4 linked regions of the Canis lupus familiaris genome follow. The protein of the gene in region 4 purifies or fractionates together with the protein of the main gene of each other region. This does not show direct contact. Links are inferred from orthologs where the notes say so. Each region holds a gene or a part of one and is shown on either strand. Other genes may lie near its edges.

What was found.
Region 1: the proteins of PEX19 (region 4) and PXMP2 purify together in Homo sapiens (affinity purification with mass spectrometry; 3 studies listed by BioGRID and IntAct, counting the BioPlex papers as one, with this or other methods). This does not show direct contact. The link is inferred for Canis lupus familiaris from reciprocal best matches to the Homo sapiens genes PEX19 and PXMP2.
Region 2: the proteins of PEX19 (region 4) and FAF2 purify together in Homo sapiens (affinity purification with mass spectrometry; 4 studies listed by BioGRID and IntAct, counting the BioPlex papers as one, with this or other methods). This does not show direct contact. The link is inferred for Canis lupus familiaris from reciprocal best matches to the Homo sapiens genes PEX19 and FAF2.
Region 3: the proteins of PEX19 (region 4) and NAT14 purify together in Homo sapiens (co-immunoprecipitation; 3 studies listed by BioGRID and IntAct, counting the BioPlex papers as one, with this or other methods). This does not show direct contact. The link is inferred for Canis lupus familiaris from reciprocal best matches to the Homo sapiens genes PEX19 and NAT14.

Annotation. Positions count from the first base shown.
Region 1 is NC_049247.1:438,055-443,152, forward strand, and holds part of PXMP2 (peroxisomal membrane protein 2), read right to left. Parts: exon of another isoform or gene 4,517-5,098; intron 4,036-4,516; exon of another isoform or gene 3,903-4,035; intron 3,715-3,902; exon of another isoform or gene 3,695-3,714; coding exon 3,532-3,694; coding exon of another isoform or gene 3,253-3,531; exon of another isoform or gene 2,463-3,252; intron 114-2,462; coding exon 1-113. UniProt on the Homo sapiens protein: Seems to be involved in pore-forming activity and may contribute to the unspecific permeability of the peroxisomal membrane.
Region 2 is NC_049225.1:37,776,681-37,782,935, reverse strand, and holds the start of FAF2 (FAS-associated factor 2), read left to right. Parts: upstream 1-2,240; 5' UTR 2,241-2,325; coding exon 2,326-2,388; intron 2,389-5,700; exon of another isoform or gene 5,701-5,762; coding exon of another isoform or gene 5,763-5,810; intron 5,811-6,255. UniProt on the Homo sapiens protein: Plays an important role in endoplasmic reticulum-associated degradation (ERAD) that mediates ubiquitin-dependent degradation of misfolded endoplasmic reticulum proteins.
Region 3 is NC_049222.1:102,987,135-102,993,215, forward strand, and holds NAT14 (N-acetyltransferase 14), read right to left. Parts: upstream 3,532-6,081; 5' UTR 3,484-3,531; coding exon 3,394-3,483; exon of another isoform or gene 3,364-3,393; intron 3,138-3,363; coding exon 3,021-3,137; intron 2,162-3,020; coding exon 1,613-2,161; 3' UTR 1,069-1,612; downstream 1-1,068. Other genes in the region: soluble scavenger receptor cysteine-rich domain-containing protein SSC5D, read right to left, coding at 4-28; ZNF628 (zinc finger protein 628), read right to left, coding at 4,260-6,081. UniProt on the Homo sapiens protein: Probable acetyltransferase. May act as a transcription factor that regulates the expression of coproporphyrinogen oxidase by binding to a promoter regulatory element.
Region 4 is NC_049259.1:22,764,290-22,770,534, reverse strand, and holds the start of PEX19 (peroxisomal biogenesis factor 19), read right to left. Parts: upstream 4,212-6,245; 5' UTR 4,156-4,211; coding exon 4,086-4,155; intron 3,527-4,085; exon of another isoform or gene 3,271-3,526; coding exon of another isoform or gene 3,222-3,270; intron 2,802-3,221; coding exon 2,692-2,801; intron 2,267-2,691; coding exon 2,101-2,266; intron 1,430-2,100; coding exon 1,344-1,429; intron 650-1,343; coding exon 488-649; intron 1-487. UniProt on the Homo sapiens protein: Necessary for early peroxisomal biogenesis. Acts both as a cytosolic chaperone and as an import receptor for peroxisomal membrane proteins (PMPs).

The sequences.
Region 1 (5,098 bases), on a different chromosome or scaffold from region 4:
GGGACGTAGTTGATGTTGATGAACTGCACTGGGGTCCAGACTCGCCAGTTCATGCACAGTGCTGGCCAGAAGCTTCTCCTTATCTGGACAGCGAAAGCAGCTGTCTCTCTCCCCTGGAAAGGAGAGGAGTATGGATGGTGAGCAGTTGCTACTGCCATCAAAACAAGCTGGGGTTGCAAGGTCTGGAGGGCCCCAAACCCTAACATGATGATTTTTAAAACCTGGATTTTATTCAATTTGTACGTAGACAGCACACCTGTGTGCCTAATTAGTGTTGCAGCTATCAGGAGCCAACCGCATGGTTGAGAAATCAAGAGTGAGATAGCCCACTTGCTGACACTGTACTGATGGCCCTCATGGACTTTCATCACTCTTTACAGAGCTGACTGAATGGTGGGATTTGTGCTGCTGGCCAGGGGCAGCTATTTATGGCTCAGCTGTCAGTTCTCAAAATAATCTAAAAAACTGATGGATTTTTCAGGCAAAACTTGAAGTGTTTAAAAATTGAACCCCAATAAATTGATTCTAAAAGTAAGTGCAATACTCTGGTTTCTTTTCAGATTGTATAATCTTTTGCCTTTTAAAAGATAAGAGCATAAGAATAGCCATCTTGAAAAAGAATAGCAAGGGGAGGCCTAAATCACTAAAAATTTAAAAAATACTTTGAAATGATGGTAAAAGCTAAAAAAAAAAAAAACCCACCATACCATGGAAATCAATAGAATTCAGCAAAAGATCAGAGGTCCAAATAAAGGCCAGCATGTATGGGAATGAGAGAGTGATAAAGTGGATGTTTCAAAGTACAGGAGATTGTTCAATAAATGGTAACAAGACAATCTGCTATTAAATGGAAAGAAACAAGACAAGTATATCTCCCACATATAAATAAAAAAGGATACTAGACTATTTCTATTTATCTGTTTATCAAAATGTACACAATAAAATCATAAAACAAACTATAGGAGAATATTCCCAGTATTTTCCTTGAAGGAAGCCCACAAAGGAAAAGAATGACAGATTTGAGTACATATATTTTTTAAACTCCTGTATGGAGTAACACACTATAAATAAGCTTTATTTATGTAACTTCAAATGTTTAACTTTATCTGTAGCTAAAAGACAAAAACTTGAAAAATGGGAAAAGTATCTGCAGTCTGTATTTGGCAAAGGATTGAGATCCTTAATATACACAAATATACAAATCAGTGAGAAAAAAGCAAACACTGATAAAAAATAAACAGTTCATAGAAGAAATACAGCAAGCATATAAAAAGTTCAATCTCATAAGTAAAGATGTATACGTTATTTTTTATGTGTCAAATTGCAAACTATTTAAAAGAAAAATACAATCATGGTTATCAAGAGTGTGTGGAAGCCAACCACACTGGACAAAGCTGCGAGGGTTAAGTGCTCTGGGATCATAAAGCCTGGGTTTGACTGGACTCACAGGCTTGCAAGTTATGGCAACTTATGCTGTGGGCCTTAGCTTCCTCAAATATGGGGTTGACTTGCGGCTCAGATGACACAAAGCACTCAATGCAGAGCTTGGAACAAGTGCTCAATAAATGTCAGTTGTCTATACTGTTCTGTACCACTGCAGGAAGGACAAGCAAGGACAGCCTTTTTGGACAATTCTAGGAATTAACCAAACAGGAATCCTTACACAAAAGAGACAGGCAAATGGTGGAATACTGTGCAGTCCAGATATGGTATCTGTGATCAAAAAATGCTGGACGTTGACACAACACAGGGAATAGGGTCAATGATATTATAATAAGAGTTGTGGTACACATAGTGTAATGTATAGAGAAACTGAATCACTGTGCTGTATAACTGAAACTAACATAACATTGTCAACTATATTCAAATTAAAAAATTTTTTTGTTATTTTTTTAAAAGATTTTATTTATTTATTCATGAGAGATACAGAAAGAGAGAGAGGCAGAGACACAGGCAGAGGAGAGAAGCAGGCTCCATGCAGGGGGCCGGACATGGGACTCGATCCAGGGTCCCCAGGATCACATCCTGGGCTGAAGGTGGCGCTAAACCTCTGAGCCACCCGGGCTGCCCCTTAATGTTTTTATTTTATTTTATTTTATTTTATTTTATTTTATTTTATTTATTTTATTTTATCTTATTTTATATTTTATTTTATTATTTTATTTTATTTATTTTATTTATTTATTTTATTTTATATTTTATTTTATTTATTTATTTTATTTTATTTATTTTATTTTTTATTTTATTTATTTTATTTTATTTATTTATTTTATTTTATTTATTTTATTTATTTATTTTATTTATTTTATTTTATTTATTTTATTTATTTATTTTATTTATTTTATTTTATTTTATTTTATTTATTTATTTATTTTTATTTATGAGAGACAGAGAGAGAGAGAGAGGCAGAGATACAGGTAGAGAAACAGGCTCCATGCAGGGAGCCCGACATGGGACTCAATCCGGGGTCTCCAGGATCATGCCCTGGGCTGAAGGTGGCGCTAAACCGCTGAGCCACCCAGGCTGCCCCACCCCCCCAATTTTTTTAATGCAGATGCAGAGGTATCTGTAGTGTGTGTGGTATAATGTCCCACATATATCATTTATTTGTTGGGTACTTTACACACTTTGCTACCTCAGATTTCCTAAGAGCTTCTCTGACACTTCTTTTTACTATCAGGGATTCATTACTAACCAGTTAAGTTGAAGCATCTTTCCTGCTTCCCCCCAGGAATGCTTTAGACCACAAGAGGTGTTCTCAGGAACAAAAACTCAAGATGCTGTTTCAAAATAAAACCTGAAGAAGGATTTACCTGCTGTGATTGGTTGGAACAATTACTTTCAGAGCAGAACATGACACATCCAGGGTAACACATCCAGGGTATACACAGTGAATGGAGAGATGGGTGGAGGTGCTAGTGAACTGGGAAGGGACTTTGGCTAAGCACAGTGAACAGACATGCCTGGTGATTAGAGGTGAACACACCTCTCATGTGGTGGGTTTTAATGTTTTAAGTCTACGCTGATACGTTAACCTCTTCAGAGCACTTGTGATGTTCAGGCATTGAGTTAGCATAGGCTTCTGCAATACCATCAGGGGCCTAAAATTTCTGTTTCATGAATCTCACGGACCCCCTTCTGAGAATCCTGTTTATAAAATAAAATATATCAACTACACTACTGTACTGAAATATACTTTTCAAAATATTCAGGAAAAGAATCCTAGACCAGTAGATGTGCTTCCATATTAACCTATTCAGTAATGAGCCTTGAAGGCAAGTACGAGGAGTCACAGAACAAAAGATATCCTGTCGAGGATAAATGATGTGTGATATCAAGATATTTGTGACTTCTTACTGTGGACCAACACTTACTGCCAGTACAACTGTGGTTTACGTTGATGTTTATACACAGAGAAGTGAAAAATTTCAGTTTGAGTGTACTGAAAAGTTCACAGACCCTCTCAATTCCACCCACAGATGCCAAGTTAAGAGCTGCTGTGCCAGACAAGGAGCTATGGCAGAGACCAACCTCCAGGAAGTTCATGATGAGGAAGAACAATAGCAGGAAAGCTGGTGCAAAGAGGAGGCGGTCCAGGAGAAGCCTCTTGACCCCAGCCAAAGGGACCTCAGGAGGAATCCAGTGTTCCATGAAGAGGTAGAAGAAGTGATTCAGTGGCCCTGTGAAGAAGAACCTGAGGGCCCCCCGGTGATGGTGAGCAGGACTGCCATTCTCTGGATGTACCCTTCTTGGTCCAGCTTCACCTCCATACCCTGGAGTCCTAAAACCTGCCTTCCTGGAGTTCCCCATCACTAACCACACAGGCCTGTGTGGTCCTTCTAGAAAACAAGCTCTCTTTGAGAGCTTCAAGAATTTTTTTTTTTTTTTTTTTTTGTCTCCAGACTTGTTCCTGCCTTGGATCTCTAATCAGTCTCTACCTAGCCAGCTCCTACTCAACATTGTCAGCTTGGAGACTTTGTTCATGATTTTTCTGGACAATGAACCCACCGCTCTCCCAGCCATTCTCTATTCCAGGTCCTGTTTCATTGTCTTGATAGCATGTATCACTATGTCATGATCTCATTTGTTTAGTCATATGGTGCCCTCTTTGTCACTTTTGAGGTAAATGTCACAAGACACAATTGTGTCTGTCTATTCACTGCTGTGCCTGCAGTGCCTAGAACATGGCCTGGCTCAGAGTAGGTGCTCAAGAATAAAACCTGGTGCTGTGCATTGACTTGTCTGTACTGCTACTATGTATTTCAAAGTGTAGAGTACCTGGGACAGAACTGAACCCAGCCACTCCGTCTCCTGGTGCAACAAAACTGTAACTCTGTAAAATTCAGCAATAAAAAGATGGGCAGGGACCCAGGGGTCTTCCAATTTTTGACACTGGAAGTCCTTACACCAGTGGTTCCCAGCTGTTATTTCCTATCCTGCCACACATTAAGTAGCCTAGAGCAGGGGTCCTTAGTGGGAGAAAACAGAATTTTAACTGTACTTATTCTTTTTTTAGTGATCTCTAAACTGTGAAGCTTGACCTCATGACCTCGAGATCAAAAGTTGCATGTTCTACTGACTGAGCCAGCCAGGTGCCCTGAGAAGGAACAGAAGTCTTGAAGATGGAAACTGAGTGGATAAAGCCTCCCAGGGATTCTGACATGCTCCCTCCTTCCCGGGTGATTATGGCTTTAACTATAGTATAGAAACTTGTGATGACTGCAACCAACATGCTTACAAATACAAAGTGATATTTGTGAACTTTAAATTGAAAAAATGACTCATGTTGCAAAAGACTTCAAAATAATCCATCTATACAAAAACTATTGTTGGCCAGAGAACTCAGTGTGGATTTAATTGGTAAAACTCCTGAATCTCTGTGGTCTCTGCAATTCCAAAAGTGGTTCAGAACTGGACATTTTTCAGGATACCTAAGTATTTATTTTCTGGATGTTTACACTATGAAAATAACAGAAACAACTGGCCATATTTGAGTCCATTTTCCTTTTTCATGGTCTTTGTGTCTTGAAATCTCATTTAGGTTCAAGTGAGTTATCTGCTCTCAAATCTCTCAGCCCAATGAAGATAGCCGCTCCCA
Region 2 (6,255 bases), on a different chromosome or scaffold from region 4:
GAGAGGCAGAGACACAGGCAGAAGGAGAAGCAGGCTCCATGCAGGGAGCCCGACATGGGATTTGATCCCGGGTCTCCAGGATCGCGCCCCGGGCCAAAGGCAGGCGCCAAACCGCTGCGCCACCCAGGGATCCCTGTAGGTGCTCTTTTAAAAATGGGAACTTTTGGGGGCACCTGGGTGGCATTGTCGATTAAATGTGTGATTCTTGGTAATGGCTTAAGTCGTGGTCTCGGGATCATGAGATGGAGTTACGCTCAGGTTGGAGTCTGCTTGGGGTTTCTCTCTCTCCCTCTTCCTCTCCCCCTCCATACCACATGTACTCTCTCTCTCAAATAAATATTTTAAAAAATTAATAAAACTAAAAATGAGAAGTTCTAGGGGCCTGGTTAGCTTTGTCAGTAGAGCATATGAATATTAATCTCAGGATCATGAGCTCAAGCCCCAAGTTGGGTGAAGAGTTTACTTAAAAAAATAAAATAAATGAATTAGCTATAAAAAGAAATGGGAAGTCCTAGCAATACTGATCTTACATGTAAGCCATCAGCTAGGGCTAAAAAGCAGAATCCACCTTTGCACAGAGAATGAACTCTCCAGTTTGCCACATTGTGTTCTCTACACTGAGGCAAATTCTTACTGGTAGATTAAAAAAATAAAATATTTTTGTAACAATGTCTTAATTCAAAGAAAACAGAAAAGTAGACCAAGAAAGGATGTATTTCTTTGAGGAAGTGAAAAACATTCCATGGTTTTTAGTAGAACTACAAAGTTTATCTGTTGAAGGAATATATCTTAAACCAGAATTATGCAATAACTCCAGAGGGTGTATGATTTTACAATCTCTCATCTAGTTTGGCTGCATCCAACATTATCGAAGATATTGAATAGTACTAGGTCTCCTTTGCGGTTTGAGTTGATGTAAAAGGCACATCTGTTTACTTCCAAATTGACCTTAAAGGTCTAAGAAAAATTCAAGGTATTGCTATTAGTTATGCAGCTTGTGCCGACCTGGTTAAGATCTACATGATACAGGCCTGTAAGAAGTGCCCTTCCATCCCTTAATGTAGTCCTCACATAACTAACTTCAGCTTTCAAAGCACCTCTTGTCCTATCTTGCCTCATCAGACCTTTAAAGTGGGTAGGGGTGGGATTCCACGGATGCTGAGCCAGAGTGACTTCCCAGGTACACATACAGGTAGTCTGGGAAAAGCAGACACCAGACCCAGACCCCTCTGCCTTGTCCAGGCCTTCTGGAGGGGGACAGAAGCAGATGGCAGAAGGAAAAAAAAAAAAAAAGTGTAATTGAAAAAGAGATCTAAACAGAGGTGGCAGTTTGAAGGGTCAGGGAAAGTGCAAAGGAAGTCAGACAGTGAAGGGTAGAAATAAGGCAGTGGAAAGGGTGAGGGACTACCTCCAAGGAGATGAGCTGAGGCAGCATGTCTGTCAGTGGCCTCGGGGGAACCCCATTCCACCAATGGCAAAATGGCCCAGAGAGGAGGTGGTTTGTCCAAGGACGTCCAGCACTTTTCCAGGTGGGCACTGGACCCTGAACCCAAGTATCCCGATCCCAGTCCAGGATTTTCCCTCTGTCTATCAAGGGATGTCGGGCCAATGGGCCTGAGGCAGGTAGGGGTACAGTCACCACCTGAGTGGATGGAAAGCTCTGCCCAAGGCTGGTAGCGCCATTAACCGTCAAAGTCTCAGGTGGCCAAGTCCAAACAATCCTAACAAGCGACTCTGAAGCCCCGATTTTCACGTGGCTGAAGCCTTTCACAACTTACAGCTCCAGACGGCATCAGAAATACCTAACCACACTATTCAGGGTCTTTCGGAATCTCCTGAGAGATGGTCAGGCGCTCTTGAAAACGTCATGGAAGGAATCAAACATCAGACGCCCGATATTTTGGAACGGCCACAATCTCCTAAGAAATACTCTGGAATATGGGAGACTATGGGAAAGTGGTTTAGGAAACAGACGAAAACTGCCAATTGGCATTCGGGAATTTCCGGAGCTTCTCGAGGAGCCCTCGGGACCTCTCGGCAATTTGCGATCTTATTCAGGAGCCTTGGGTCTGAGCAGATCCATTCGTCGCCCACAGCGTTCAGAGCGACAGCCTCTCGGCCATTTACGGAAGTGTTCGGGATTGCTCGAGAGTGGCGCCCTCTGACGGCGGGAACTGTCACCACGAGCACCCCGGTGACAGAACGCGCAAAACGCGCAGACGCAGCTGCGCGCCCGCGGCCGTTCAGACCGGACGTGGTTGCTGCTGAGGTCATTTCCGGCGGGTGACGGTGCGGACGGGTCAGAAGCGTAGAGGCGGCGGCAAAATGGCGGCGCCTGAGGAGCGGGATCTAACCCAGGAGCAGACAGAGAAGCTGCTGCAGTTTCAGGTAGCAGCGAGTACTCGGTGCAGGAAATGCCGTCACGGGCTGGGGAGTGGGCCCCTGTTGGAGCCCAGAACCTCCCTCAGATTGGGCCCGAGATTCTCCTCAGATCAGCGGCGGCCCCCTCCCCCCCAGACGCCAACTGCCCTGCTGCTCCCGGCCCCCGAGCCTCTGTCGGTCCTCCGCCTTCCAGCCAGGACTGCGGCCCTCTCATCACCCCTCCGCGGGTCAGCTTCTCTGGTTTCCCTTAGCAACACCCGTTCTCTACCATTCTTCCCAGCCCAGTTACCCGTCGGACCCTCTCCGCCCTTCGACTCTAGTACTACCCAGATGCTTAATCCCCACCGCGGAGCTGGCCTCGTTTCGGGTCTCTGGAAAACCTACCAGGATCCCATGCTATTTCTGCAAATATATATTGATGGCCTCTTGGGTGCCTGGTCCTGTGTTGGGCGCTCTGGTGGGGGAGGTGGCAGACCTGGCCCCCGCCCTAAAGGTGTGGGAGGACACCACCTAAGGAAACCAGGCAACAATTTTAAGTATCAGTGGCTTCTGACGGGGTTTACTACCCTGGGCTTATTCCTGGACTCACGTTCTTGACAGTGCTTGACGTGGGTGGTAACTTGCAGAAATCTGCCTCCTTTTAGTGGTAGTCGTGTTAAGAACTTTTGGCACTAAGCACTTACTTCTGAGTTGGAGAAAACGATTGGAGGAGACCAATAGGGTGGGTAACCTTGGCCCTTTATCACCCTAATGGATACCAGTTTCCTTATTTCTAAAGTACTTCTCGTAAAAATGTCTACCCCCTAAGGATATCGTGAGCTTAAAATGAGTTTATGGATCTATGAAGGGCTTTGTAAACTGTGAAATGTTCCCAAGCGGTATTGCTACTATTCATCATTATTTAACTTAGGATAGAGTAAGTTAGTGGTACACTTTCTTCCGAATATAAAATGTGCTGAATATTCATTAATTTGGCATTATTTACCAAGAACCTTAGTGCTCAGGCACTGCTAGTTCAAATATCATTTATGGAGTACTTACCATGCTGTAAATACTTTGCTAAACACATAACATACTAGATCGTATTTAATACTACAAACCTTGAGATTCATGCTGTTACAAGGCCTATTTTACAGATGAGGAATATGAGGCTTAAGGAAGTAACATACTTAGGTTTCATAGCCAGTAAGTGGTAGTATCAGATTTAAAGCCAGATCCATCTTTCCAGAACCTTTCCTGAGCTCTTGACTTGAGAAATTGAGGACACAGCAAATTAGGATCAGAATGAATTAAACAATAGACAACCGGCTTCCTCTTCTTGGTGGACCACTTATTTCAAAGTTTTGTTTAATTTGGCAGGACATTTTACCCCTTACAGCTCTTTAGGGATAAGGTTCCAGATTAAGTATTCTGAGGTGATATGAATTATGTCATGATATACTTGGGCTGATGCTCCGAAGACATGAAAACGTAGTATTTCTGAGGTACAGTACATGGATACCTCTGTTTTGTCTTCATTGGACGCTTATATTGGTAAGAGGTGAGTAGTAGGTTAAAGTTGTATTAAGATTGCTTTGTGAGGAGTACCTTGATTGGCTTAGTCAGTAGAGCATGCAACTCCTGATCTTAGGGTTGTGAGTTCAAGCCTCACATTGGAGGTAGAACTTACTTTAAAAATAAAACCAAAAAAGTAGATTGCTTTGTGAAATTGGATTTACCAAGGCAAATGCATTTTGCATTTTTGTGTTCTTTAAGCAGTTGCTGGATCAGGTTCATCATTCAATTGCCATTGAACGTTCTTTGAAACTTACTAGATGTCAAGCATTATACCAGATATTTAATGTATTTTAACTCTTAAACCTCTTAACACTAAGGAATTAAGCCTCATTCGTTTTGTTAATGAAGAAACGGATTCTGAGAGATTAAATAACTCACAAAAGTATTAAGTGGCAGAGATTTAGAGATCCATACCCATAATCCTCTAACGTATAACCTACTGTAGAAGCAAGCTAACATACATACGTGAATAATGAGTATCTTGCGGTATATTCGTGCTTATAGTATGCTATGATATAAACAAAGTGCTATGGGAATTTATGGAAGGATAGGAATATTCCTGGAGGTAGGAGGAGGAGAGAAGAGAGGATGACCTAGTAGTTAACCATTTATTTATTAAGTATCTACTGTGCCTTAGGCATGGTGCTTGATAGTTTATAACTATTACACTTAATTCTCAAAATAGCATTATAAAGTGCCATAGATGATAGAGCTGCTCCTAAGTGAGGAAACCGATCTATTGAAGTATTTGCCTAAGTTCATTGAGCTATTAAATAGGATGGAATTAGAATTAGAACTGTAGTGGGTCTGAATCGGACTTTAAGGCTGGGTTCTTTCCACTGTACTTTGCTAATTTTGAAGGAGGAATAGAATTTCAACAGGTAGTAGGCAGAGGGATGCTCAAAGCTGAGGAAATGGCTCAAGCAATGTATGAAGATGGAATAGTGTGGAATGTTTGTTGTGATGGATTGAGAGAATTGGAAGTGGAAAATATGATTGGAAAGGTAAATTAGAGTCAGATTTTGGAGGCCTTTCAAAGCTTTGCAAAATGATTTAAATTTTACTCTGTATACATAGGGAGCCATCAAAGGTTTTTTTCAGCTAGAGAATAGCATAACACTTAAGTTTCAGGTTTCCTTCACTAACGCTTTGGAGTGTGTGCTTGGAATATCCATAGGAGTCAGGACAGAACCGGGTGGTACTGCTAGGCACGAATTCTCAATAATATTGCTTCATTTGATGTATTGAAATTAGCAAAAGTAAAATATTTTAGAAATCTTAGGTTTCCTCTGTTTCATTTTTTTTTTTTTATGACATGTGATTTGACTGGAACTTCCCAGAGTATATTTATCGTGTTTCTCAGACCATTTGATTTTTTCTAAGATTTTTTTTTTTTTTTTTTTAAGATTTTATTATCTATTCATGACACACAGAGAGGCAGGGGGAGGAGAAACAGGCTCCATGCCTGGAGCCCGATGTGGGACTCAATCCTGGGACTCCGGGATCACGCCCTGAGCCAAAGGCTCAACCACTGAGCCATCCAGGCGTCCCTCTAAAATTTTTTTCTAATTATCCTTTTCTTCTGTTTATTTTGGAACCAATTGAATATGAATGCACATGTTTGTTTTAAGCTGTTTCAAATGGAAGAGAATAGGTCTTAAGAGTTAATGCAGATATGGGTAGGGTTACTTTATTGAACCCCATTTTCCCAAATATCCAAATATAACAGACTCCTCTAGTGCCTTGGTTTACTGCTTTTAGGTTGCTGTTTGAACACCTGGAGAAAAATGACATGGACAGAGAGAAGGGACTAAAGGAGCTATATGCAAGGCCAGGAGGAAGAAATGATTCCTTTCTGCTTTTGTATGGGAGTAAGAAATTTCCTTCCCTTCCCTTCCCTTCCCTTCCCTTCCCTTCCCTTCCCTTCCCTTCCCTTCCCTTCCCTTCCCTTCCCTTCCCTTCCCTTCCCTTCCCTTCCCTTCCCTTCCCTTCCCTTCCCTTCCCTTCCCTTCCCTTCCCTTCCCTTCCCTTCCCTTCCCTTCCCTCTCTTTTCTTTTCTTTTCTTTTCTTTTCTTTTCTTTTCTTTTCTTTTCTTTTCTTTTCTTTTCTTTTCTTTTCTTTTCTTTTCGATTTTATTTGAGAGAGAAGAGAGTGTGAGCAAGGGGGAGAGGCAGAGAGAGAAGCAGACACTGCCTAGCAGGAAGCCCTATTGTGGGGGCTTGATCTCAGGACTCTGAGATCATAACTTGAGCCAAAGGCAGATGCTTAACCTATTGAGCTATCCAGGTGCCCCAGGAGTAAGACACTTCTTTCCTT
Region 3 (6,081 bases), on a different chromosome or scaffold from region 4:
CACCAAGGAGGCAGGCCAAGACCCTCATGTTTGCAGAGTCCAGGGCAGGGACGGGGTGAAAGGGGACGCAAGCAGGAGAGGGGAGGAGGCTGTGGCCACCGATACCGCTACCGCCACCGGCACCGGAGGGAGGGAGGGAAGGAGGGAGGGAGGGAAGCGCCTGCCAGAGGAGCCCTGGACCGGGGAGGAGCAGGCAGTGGCCGGACGCTCTGCCAGAAGGAAGAGAGGCTGCCTGCCGAGGAGGCAGCAGGGGACAGGAGTGGGGGCAGGGAGGGGGCTGGCCGGCTGATGAGATCTGGGGAGGAGGGGGGTGGTGGCGGAGGGGAGGGAGGGTGTCCAACTGCAAACTCCCACAGGGAGCCAGGGAGCCTCCAGGCTGGTCGCCCTGCTGTGCTTAGAGATGCATAGGGTAGGGCGGGCTGGAGGCTGCTGGGACCCACAGGGGCATGCACAAGCACCCACCCGTCTGCCTCTTGTCCAGCCAGGGAACATGGCGACACCGGGGTAGAGCAGACTGAGAGATGGGGTTTGGGGACCTGGTGCAGCTGGGGCTCACAGTTCAGCAGCAAGAGGGCTCAGAGCCAGAAACCAGGAAGGACTTCCTGGATTGGGAAGGAAGACTGAGGAAGCCCTATGGGTTCCCCCTGGTGGGGTTGAATGCAAAACCTTGAGTCCCCCGTCTGAGGGAGCAGTGGCTGAACCCTGGGGAAACTGGGGTGGAAGGGGCCAGCAGGACTAAGGGCTGAGTCTTGGTTGAGGGAGGGGGACTACACACACACACACACACACACACACACACACACACACACGCACACACACACACACCCTGCCCCCGCCCCCCACTCGGCACCAGGCAGCTGTGAGGCGGAAAAAATTCGGTAATGGGGAGCATGAGTCAGAGGGCTGGCAGGGAGTGGGGCTGCCGTGAGCTCATTGCCTCCCCTTCTCCCTGTCCAGCACCCCCAGCAACAATTAACGTCAAGTCAGGGAAAAGGAGAAGCCAGACAGTGGGGAGGCTAGTCAGAGACAGACTGGAAAAGGCATCAGAGAGAGAGAGAGAGACGGACGTGCAGCAGTTTCAGGCTTTATTAACAATCGGGTGTAAAAAACCAGATGGGTTTGGCTGGCGCCCCTCTCAGCTCACCTTCTGGGGAGGGGCCTGGCATGGGCAGCCCTGTGCCCTCCATCCTTGCCAGGGCCTTGCTCTGGTCAGACTCCCTTCCCCTGTAAGGGCTCTGCTCATCCCCTCTGTGCAGACATCAAGCCCCTCCCCGTTCCCAGGAGGGCCTCGTCCCCATTTGGGGTGCCCCTGACCGCAGGTCCTAACCCATGGGGGTGGGCACACTTGCGGGCCTCCTGTCCTCCTCCCGACTGATCTCGCCCAGGCCTGTAGCATAAATTGTGCAACCTTGGCAGACGGACAGAGGAGACTTCTCAGTGCAGACAAAATCCGGGTCAGGGGGCTGGACAGGTTGACCTCTGCGAAAAGTTCAAGCCTACAGAGAGCCGTCAGCCTGCAGTGGAGTGTCCTGCCTTATGCAGGCCTGGGGACTCAACCCGCACACAGTAGCTGCTCATTAAGTGCTCTCCCTTCCTCCAGGGTCCAGAGTCCTCACAGGTCCTTGCTGAATTCCCGCACAAGTGTGTAGCCCATGCAGCCCCAGCTCCCTTCAGCCTGGTAGCCACAGCCCTCCAGCATCCCTGCCACGCCCCACGCTGCCACCGCCACAGGGACCACAAGCCTGGCCCGGGGCTCTCCCATGCCTCCTGCCCAGGCTCGCGCCCGGGATTCGGCAAAGGCCAGCAGCCGCCGGCCTACACCTCGGCGGCGGTGCCAGCGAGACACAGAGAGGCGGGTGACCCGGGCCCCATCCCCAGCACTGGACCCTGGGGCCAGGGCCAGGACGCCACACACATCACCCGAGCTGCGCACTGCCACCCAGGGGCCCCCCAGGCCGCCCGGTGGAGGCAGTGAGCCCCATCGGGCCCGCAGGCCAAGCTTCATGGCTGCCACAGCCAGGAACACAGGCAGGAGGAGGGCCAGGGCGAAGGAGGCCAGGACGAAGCGCAGACCACTGCTGGCTGCAGCCAGGAGGAGCAGGGCTGGTGGCCGTGTTAGGGCATGGAGGGCCACACGGTTCTCTGTGTCCTTCACACCAGCCTGTGGGCAGAAGTTGCTGTCAGAGCCAGGGTCCTGGGCCATACATCGGGCTGTTGGGCATCCGGGAGGAGTGGGGTGGGCTGTGCCCGGGAAAGGGGCGGAGGAGTGGGAGCTCCCAAATGAGAAGGCATTGTGATGGGGCCAAGGAACAGCAGGGAATAGGATTGCATCTGCCCTACCACCCTGGGCCTTGAGCAAGTGAGTGAGTTAGGAGCTGTGGGGGACACTGAGGCCACAGGGCAGAGGACTGCCCCAGTTCAGAGCAGGAGCAAGCTCCGGGCAGCAAGAGGTGGGCTCAGGAGGGGCCAGGCTGAGGCCCAAGGGATCTTTCTGCTTTGAAGAGTGTTGAGGAGGAGGCTGGGCTTTGGCTGGAGTCTGCAAACTATGGAGGGAGCTGGGACCATGCTCTTCCACCGCCCTCCATCTATTAAAACTTAAAAATAGGGATCCCTGGGTGGTGCAGCGTTTGGCGCCTGCCTTTGGCCCAGGGCCCGATCCTGGAGACCCGGGATCGAATCCCACGTCAGGCTCCCGGTGCATGGAGCCTGCTTCTCCCTCTGCCTGTGTCTCTGCGCCTCTCTCTCTCTCTCTCTCTCTCTCTCTCTCTGTGTGACTATCATAAATAAATAAAAATGTAAAAAAAAATTTTTTTAAACTTAAAAATAAAATCTCTAAACCCAAAGTAGGGCTTGAACTCATGACCCTGAGGTCAAGACCCAACCAGTCAGGCACCCCTAAAACCTCTGCGGAACCGGAAAGGAAAGGGACCGAGCCAGAAGGAAAAGAACGGGTCCCAGGAGTCCGGGCTGGCTCTGGCAAGTGGCTGAAGCCACGCACAAGGCACCCCGCGCGCTCTCACCTTCAGCATCTCCAGCACCAAGGGTTTCTCATCTTCCCTCATCTCCCGCACTGACAGGTGGTTGGGGGCCATGGCCGCCGCCAGGCTCCCGCGCCCCCAAAGGGCGCAGGCGTGCACCTGGTGAAAACAAGCAGGCCGGCGTCAGGGAGGCGCCCCAGACAGGGAGGACCAGCAGCAACGGGACCCTGACCGGGACCCTGGAGGCTGGGGCTCCCCAGGCGAGGTCCAGCACCCTGCCACCCGGGGCTCCCTCCCAGGCTCCCGGACGGCCCTGGGGAGTCAGCGGGACACCCCCAGCAGCCAGCGCCTGGACCACGCTCCCTGCCCCGCAGGCGTCCCCGACCCGCGCCGCAGGAGCAGGCACCGCGAGAACCTCGGCAGGCCGCTTCGGGCCTTCCACCAGGTGCGGGGGCTGCAGGGTAGTGAAGGGGGTCGCTTGCGGAAGTGACGTCACACCGCGCATGGAGGGGCGGGGTGTGCAGCCTGCCTTAGCAACAGTTGCCAAGCGTCCCGGCTGGGGCAGGTGGCGGGGCCCGGGCGCGCGCCGCGGAGAGGCCCGGAGCTGGGAGCAGCGACCCCCTAGGGCTGGGGTCGGAGCGCAGACCCGTACTCACCCGGCCCGCACAGGAGGAGCGCACGTTCGCTACCTGACCTTCGCCGGTTGCTAAGCAAGCGGAGAGGCGGGGGTGCGCGGCGACGGGAGCGGGCCGGCTCTCATTGGCTCCGGGGCCTTCGCGGGAGGGGCCGCACTCTGGACTCGCTCCTCGTAACCTCCCGGCCCCAGGAACCTCCGCTGCTGCGAACTACCTGTGCTCTCCGGGACCTCCGGGAGGATTCCCACGCGCCCATTTTTCAGATGCGGGGAGGGATGGGGTGACTTACAGCGAACACGTGACAAAACCACAATTCTAGATCCCAACTCCTCCCCACGATAGGGACCGCTGCATCCCTTTGTAAAATGACAAAAAGAACCGCACTTAGAAGCGGCTGGCCAAAAATCTCCAAGTGAGTCACCTGCGAGCCAGGAAGCAAGAGATACAAGACCCTCAAGGTCCCAAGCGGTGGCTATGGCCATGACATTCCCCCCACCCCAACCAGCCCCCAAGAACATAAAATACGGGAGAGAAGTTTCCAGTCTTTATTAGCAAGCCCAGCCTGCAGCTCCCCTCCCTCTAGCCCAGCCCAGCCCAGCGAGTTGGGGTCTCTGTGTAGGGCACACTTAAGTCCCAGTGGTTCTCCTCAAAATGTATGCACCAGCTGGACTGCGGGCAGAGTCTGGACAATCTGGATGGAGGGTAGGCCCTGTGGGGTCATACCTCCAGGTGCAGCGCCAGTGGGTACCACTTGTACCATCTGGGAGGTGGGAGCTGTGGAGATGCCCACTGGGGCAGAGGCTTGGCCAGGTTGGGGGGGGGCCAGCAGCTGCAGTGTGGCAGCACCTCCCCCACCGCTGCTATTGTCCAGCAGTTCAGTGGCAGGTGCACTGCGGATGATGAGCAGCTTCTGTCCTGGAGGGCCAGGGGCTGGAGGCTCGGCCAGCCCAGGAGGGAGGGTCTCTACCTCCTGCACACACAGCTGGGTCTGTTCCCCATCTGCCCCACTCAGCACCAGGACACTCTGCAACCCCTCGTCTGTCTGCAGTGTCTCAAACAGCACATCCTGGACAACACCAGCACTGGCCTCACCATCACCTGGCTCCCCAGAGCCTGGACCTGCCAGCAACTCCTCAGCTGTTCCACTCTGAACCACCAGCAGATTGGGGGCCTCAGGAGTCACAGCTCCCCCGCTGGGATTGGAGAGCTGGCCTGCCACAGGCTGGAGCTGGACTGTGGTCACTTCCTGAGCCGGCTGGAGCTGGACTGTGGTCACCTCCTGGGTGGGCTGGAGCTGGACCGTGGTCACCTCGGGGGCTGGCCGGAGGGGCTGGAGCTGGACCCCGCTCACTTCCTGTGCCCCTGCCTCCCCACCCCCTACATTCTGCAGAACAATGAGGCTCTGCCCTCCCCCACTGGCCCCTGCGTTGCCCCCTCCCTGGACCCCCAACCCCCCAGGACCCGGCAGCCATACTACTCCAGGCCCCTGACCAGATTTCCCTGCTGCACGTGTGCCCTGCCTTCCGCGGCGGCCCCCAGCACCAGTACCGGAGGAGGGCAGCAGGATGAGCTTGGGGGGAGGAGGTGGGGGCGCAGGTGTAGGGGGTTGGACGCTGCTAGGGATGAGCTGGAGGCCCTGGGCCGTCTGCACCAGGAGAAAAGTCTGGGAGTTGGGGGCTGCCTGGCCCGGGGGTGGGGCCGCAGCCGGGCCCCCTGCCACCTCGAGGGAGAGTGTGGCCTGGAGATGGGGGAGCACATGGACATCTTGGGTGGTGGATGGGGCTGGGGCCGCCACCAGCGGGGCAGGGGGCTGGGAGCTGGTGGCGGGGGCTGCGGGGCCGGCAGCTGCGGGGGCCGGGGCATGCGTCCTCAGGTGCCGCTGCAGGTAGGCTGCCATGACGAAGCTGCGGCCGCAGATGGGGCAGGCAAAGGGGCGCTCCGCCGAGTGGGTGCGCTGGTGCAGCAGCAGGTTGGACGAGTGCGTGAAGGTCTTGGGGCAGAGTGGGCAGCGGAAGGGCCGCTCGCCCGTGTGTACACGCTGGTGCTGCCGCAGGTTGGAGGTCTGCGCGAAGCTCTTGCCACACACGCCACAGGCGTGGGGCCGCTCACCAGTGTGCACGTGGCGATGGCGCCGCAGGCACGACGTGTTCCGGAAGGCCTTGCCACACTCCCCGCAGGCGTATGGCCGCTCGCCCGAGTGCAGCCGCAGGTGGTACTGGTAGTGTGAGGACCACTTGAAGGTGAGCCCACACTGGCTGCACGTGAAGGCCCGCAGGCCCGTGTGCACACGCTGGTGGATGGCCAGCAGGGACGAGCGCTTGAAGGCCTTGCCGCACTCGCCACACTGGTAGGGCCGCTCGCCCGTGTGGTCCCGCAGGTGGTAGCGCAGCCCCGAGGAGCCCTTGAAGGCCTTGCCGCACTCTGCACACTTGTAGGGCCGCTCGGTACAGGCTGGCGTGGGCGCGGGC
Region 4 (6,245 bases):
ACCCTGGTCTATTGTCTCCTGGTCCACACTGTTCACATCACACTTGACCACACGTGGCACTGAAGAGCTACTATTCCTGTATTTTGTTTCTTCAGTGAAACCGTAAGCTCTTTGACAGCAGGGGCCATCCTTCACACTACTCTTAAACTGTTTGTAGCATAAATCAGTAAATCCTCAGTGAAACTTTGTTGGAGAAACAAATGAAGTTATTACAACTATGTAAGAAAGGGTTGGTCAGCAACAGTCTCAAACCAGATTACAGGAACGAGAGCTGAAGGACATCCCTTTCTATCTTAAACATCTTCGGTGTGGTACCTTTATTCCCAGAGACACAGCTCCTCCCAGCTCTCCTGCTCCAAATAAACAAGAGTGAATGGATCATGCACTGGAGTTACTCTAGCTCTGTATGCTCTAGCAGACAAAGTAGCCCACAGGGGTTGATGCAATGGAAAACAAAGAGGGAAAGCAGAAATCTAAGTCCACAAACCTTTTCTGTAATCTCCTTCAGTGACGGGTACAGCACATCCTTGGACAGTAGGTTCTGCATGATACTCTGCATAATGGGGAGAATGTTCCCTTCCCCATCCCCTTCGTCCATGCCCAGCCCTTCCATGGCCTTGGTCAGTTCCTCCTCTGACATGCCTGAGTTCTAGAAAGGCCAGGAGAGAGGTGAGCAAATACAGATAGTCCCTAACTTAGGACCATTTTTTAACTTCATGATGGTGTGAAAGGAATGCACATTTAGTAGAAATTGTACTTCACATTTTGAGTTTGGATCTTTTCCCAGGCTAGCGAAACACAGATGATACTCTCCTGTGATGCTGGGCAGCAGCTGTGACTCCCAGGCCACCACGTGATCACCGGGGTCAACAACCGATGCACTAACAGCCATTCTATCTGCTTACAACCGTTCTGTTTTTCATATTCAGCACAGCATTCAATAAATTACATGAGATATTCAATACTTTATTAGAAAATAGGCTTTGTGGTGGATGATTCTGCCCAACTCTAGGCTTGTGTAAGTGTTCTGTAGTGTTTAAGGTAGACGAGGCTAAGCTGTCACGTTCAGTAGGGTAGGTGTATTAAATGCATTTTCAACTTATGTTATTTCCAGCCTATGATGGATTTATCAGGCTGTAGCCCCATTATAAGTTGAGGAAGATCTGTATATTGCCTTCTTGAGATGCTTACCACCCTTTCAGGTGGGAGAAAACGATTTACACTTGCAACAAAACAGTGTGGCAGGAACAGACTTTAGATGCTACCCAACAAAGTCTGTCTTTTGAGACTCTGCTGCTGATATGCCTGAGGGGTCCCTCGTGGACCCCACCCCTTTCCCTCACCTGAAGATCAGTAGCATTTTTGGCAAGTCCACTTAGTGTCTCCTTCAGGCAAGACGTAAATTCTTGTTGGGATGTCGCATCACTGCCTAAGAAAGATCAAGAAAGCCATATTAGGGGACACCTGGTGGCTCAGCGGTTGAGCATCTGCCTTTGGTTCAGGGCGTGACCCCGGGGTCCTGGGATCGAGTCCCACGTCGGGCTCTCTGCAGGGAGCCTGCTTCTCCCTCTGCCTGTGTCTCTGTCTCTCTCTCTCTCATGAATAAATAAATAATCTTAAAATAAAAAGCCATTTTAGATTTTAACTGTCTGCTTACCCAGACTGACTTGGTTATCAAGTAGATATAGATATATCTATAGATATATAGATATAGAAGATATAGAGATCTTCTATATAGTAGACATAGATATAGAACATTTACTAGTGGATCACTAGCACACCAATCTCTTGAATCCTCTGTGGTTCCTAGTCATTTTCATGAAGCTACATGAACTGCGCATGTCAGTTTATTCTCCACGATGACACCCACAACACTACGACCTTTAAAATGGTCAGTCTTCAGTCATCTTTTCAATGTCTTTTCAGCCTCCTCCCTTTCATCATACCATGTTCCCATCCCTCTTCCCACCTCCCGGCCCCTCCCCACAAGCAGTGATATGATGAGTGCTATCAGCTTTACTAAGAGACCTAGTGTTCTCAGGCAACACAGATGTCAGGACTTGGTTCACAGAGTTCCAGCCCTCTGGGCTGCCTTCTCACCCACTCTCCCTGCAGCCTCTGAGAGCTTCTGGAACTGCTCCACCAGGTGGGGCTCTTCCTCAGCCAACTCCTTCATTGCCTTCTCGAACTCTGCAGTGGCTTGGGAAGCCAGCTCGCTGTCGAACAGTTCCTGGAAAAACTTCTCTTGGGAGGCGAAGAGGGCATCCTGCAGGGAAGGGGTGGCCAAAATGCATCTCTTATTTGGCACCCCTCTGACACAAGCCACAGGCAGTGGCTCTGAGAAATGCAGTGCTTCCCTCCTGCCCGCCTCCACTGGACATTCTAACTACCTCTCTTAAGGAGAACAGTAAAAAAGGCATCTGGCCACTGAGGAAAGGGTATATATAGGATGGCATTCCCAAAACAATCATGTAAACCTACTCTTTTTTTTTTTCAAAGAACTGCCTTGAGAACCCACCTCTCCATCATGGAAAGTCCCTGTTTACCAGGACTAAGGCCTGCAAGAGCGCTCAGCACTCTAAGGCCGAGGCCTCCTCCCCCCATCCTCTCCAACCCACAGGGGCCTGCCCCACGTCTGCTCAGAGATGCACGCCCATCCCCTCCCATCCCTTAAAAGGGTGGAATTTATACTTTGGCAGTGTCTCCTGGCGATCTCTTCTGGGCCCCTGAAGCATCAGGGGCCGTGGTGGTAGGAGGGGGTGCTGGGGAGGGTTTGGCCTTATCGAAATCATCAAGAGCACCTTCAGAGACAAGAGACACAGTGTGTGTGTTGGGGGGTGGATGAGGATGCAAGGCTGCGGTGCGGGGGGGGGGGGGGGGGGCGCGTTCTGGGCAAAGCATTAGGAGAACAATCAATGTGCCAACCTTCCTAAAAAAAAAATTTTTTTTTTGAGTCTCCCTCTCCTGGCCCACCCTTCAATCAGCTTCCCCACCTCCCTCCTCATCTACCCACCCAATTTATGGTGATCAACGGTAAAAGGAATCCCTTAGGGTGGAAGAGGAGGCATCTCTCCCAGAGCCGGGAGGAGAGAATTAAGAGTTGTGCAAACGCATCTCCCACTACACAGAGGCCTCCTTGCCACACTGTAACGATTTCCCAGAAATCCCATATAAACGTCTAAGGGCAGAGAGCACACATGTCCCTCAACCCCTGGACTCACTCTGGAGACCTTCAGAGAATGATTTTTGGCAAGGAAGCGGCAGCCACATGATGTTCCACCCGGCGTCCCCTGGGTCCTGGTGTGGCACAGACTTGAGGGCTAGCACACCGGACTCCCCGGAGGGCACTGAGGTCTCTCCTCTTACCCTCCGACTCAGCCCTGCCTCAGCCCTGCCGGGGAGGGGGGCGGAGCTCCCGGAGTTCCCCGCAGCCGGCTCGCCCCTGCAGAGAATGTGCCAATGCACAGGGCCACCTGGCGCTCCTCACCGTGTCTGACCGTCCTTCTGTCTGCCCACGTCTCTGTGACTGGGCAGGAGACAGAACGTGTTCACCTCTGCCCTGAACACCTGAGTCCTCACCGCCATCCCGCCTGCCAGGCTGGGGGAGGAGGGGAGGAGGAGGGGTGGCGGGCACGACACGGGCCCTTGTGGGCAAGCAACCACCCGAGGACGGGAGGGCCGGGGCGGGCAGGAAAGAACATGCGGCCTGAGTGGGGGCGCGGGGGCGGCTCTGACGTGGCGAAGGGCAGGTGAGCGGCGGCCGCCGACCCCAGGCGCCGAAAGCCGCTGCCGGCGGGAAGTTCGGTCCCGGCACCTGCGCGGCGAGGCCAAGGCGGGCTGGGGTCGGGCCGTCCCGCGCGCTGCCGCTCCCCCTGCGGCCCGGGCACCGCCGGTCTGACCCGCCGCCGAGGACGGAGACCGCGGCCCGCGCGGCCCAGGGGCTCGCTCCGGGGTCGCAAGGAGACCCGCCGCCCCCGCCAACCCTGCGGGAGCCTCCCCCGCCCCCAGGACCTCGGGGCTCGCTTTGCCCCGGAGCGAGCCCTCACGACCGCCCGCGTCGGGCCTCTCGTCCCACGAGCTCTTACTTTCCAGGAGCTCTTCCAGTTCCCGGTCCGCGTCGGCACCGGCAGCACAGCCCTCCTCGGCGGCGGCCATCTTGCTCTGTCCGGCTTGCCGTAGGGGGCGGGGCTCCGCGGCGCTCGGCCCGCCCCTCGCCCCGCCCCTCGCCCCGCCCCGCCCCCTCGGGCAGCCAATAGCAGAGCGGGCCGGTGCGGAGCCGCCATCTTTAAAGGGACAGGAAGCTTCGTGGGCTTGTGTTTTTGTTTTCGGTGTGGGTTTTTTTTTTTTTTTTTTTTTTTTCTCCCCCTTCTCCTCCTTTCTGGCCGGGAACCGTTGAACTAACGGCATGGGTCACTTAGCAGCCCGGCTCCCTTTACCGCCGCCTCTGGCACTCTCCGGGAAGCAGCCGTTTCCTCGTCTCGCCCAGGGCACCCGGCGTTCGGGCCGCTTTCCCCCGCGGCCTGCCCGGCTCCCCGCCGCCGCCCCGCCCCGCCCCGAATTCAACCACCACGCGGGCCGGGACTCGCTCACTGCGGGGCCCTGGCGCCCTGCACCCCGCCCTGCACCTGCCCGGACCCCGGCGGGGCGCCCCCTCCCCCCCCCCCGTTCCCCAGCGGCGGGGCGGGGCGGGACCGGACGATCCAGGCCCGGCAACTGGGAAGCCGGCGCCGGCGGAGGCAGCCCCGGCAGGAAAAGCCAGTGTGCGCGCCTGGACCGAGCCGGGGACCCCGCAGACCCCGCAGCGGCGCCCCGGCCTCCCCCGAACCATCTCCTTTGCTCAGAACCCAGCGCCCAACCCAGGGATGCTGGGGCGCTCGCGTGGACGCAGGCGGACACCTGCCTTCCCTGCCGACACAGGGCGCCCCTGCCTCAGACGGAGGCCTGCGTTAGCACTTTGGGGGCATCCATTGCCTTTGGGACCCCGTGCTGGGCTCCGCGGACGTAGGGGGGTGGGGACCGCTGCTCGGGGATGAGGCTGGAGGCGGCCCGGACCGGCACACGGAGGTGTGGTGCCAGGTCCACGGCTTCGGAGAACCGTCGAGTGCTGCGGGGCGTAAAATGGGGAAATCACATCTAAATGAAGTCCCTTGGCGGCTTTCGTCCTTGGCTTCCCGAGAACACGCTGGAATGTGTGTCGAGCACCAGCTTAGGTACTCTCTGCTTCCCAGACAGGGCGCAGACTTTTTTTTTTTTTAATTATTTCATGAGAGAGAGAGGCAGGCTCCCTGCAGGGAGCCTGACGTGAGATCTGGGACTCGTTCTGGGTCTCCAGGATCAGGCCCTGGGCCTAAGGCGGTGCTGAACCGCTGAGCCCCCCAGGGATCCCCCAGACTCCTAAATCACACCTGTGCAACACGCGCTGTATTGTTCCGCCCCAAGGGCTGTGACTGAGGACAAAACATCCTGAACCCAAAGTCAGCTGAGCTAAGTCCCAGTCCCAATTCTGTAACCAACTGCTTTTGTTCAAAACCCTTCACCACTCAAGACCTCAGATGGCAACTACATAACGTTAAAGTTCTTTTCAATTCTAAATTTCCATAAGGGATCCCTCTGATTAACCCCTTTCTCCCCAACACCTGCAGAATCTATCCCAGGCTTCCTTCCTTCAACTCCAAACCACTTACATGTGTCTTTCGAATGTGACTATAGTTACATCAATCATGTTACAGGTATTTCTATTGGTTTCACATTAATGTGGTAACATTAGCATGTTAATAAGCAAAATACCAGAAATAAATGAGAACATGAAGTTGAAAACAAGCACGATTCTTCCTTTGCCTCATTTCTTAAACTTGCTCTGCTTTTCTCTCACTAGGGATACTCCTAAAACCTCATCTCCACATTTATTCATCACCTGCCTTTCTAATGTATACTGAATACTGTTGCAAAATAGTATTTTACAGCATTTTTTTTTAAAAGTAAGACTCCATGCCCAGCATGCAGCCCAACACAGGGCTTGAACTCACAACCCTGAGATCAAGACCTGAGCTGAGATCAAGAGTTGGACCCTTAACCAACTGACCCACCCAGACACCCCTACAGCATTTTCTTTATACCATCCTCTCACTTAAGGACTTAACGGCTCCTCATTGTTTATTGCCCAACTGCAAATTCTTGCCTGATATTCACAGTTATTTTACATTTATCCATTTTGTTTCCCCAACAACTTGAGCTTCAGGAAGCAT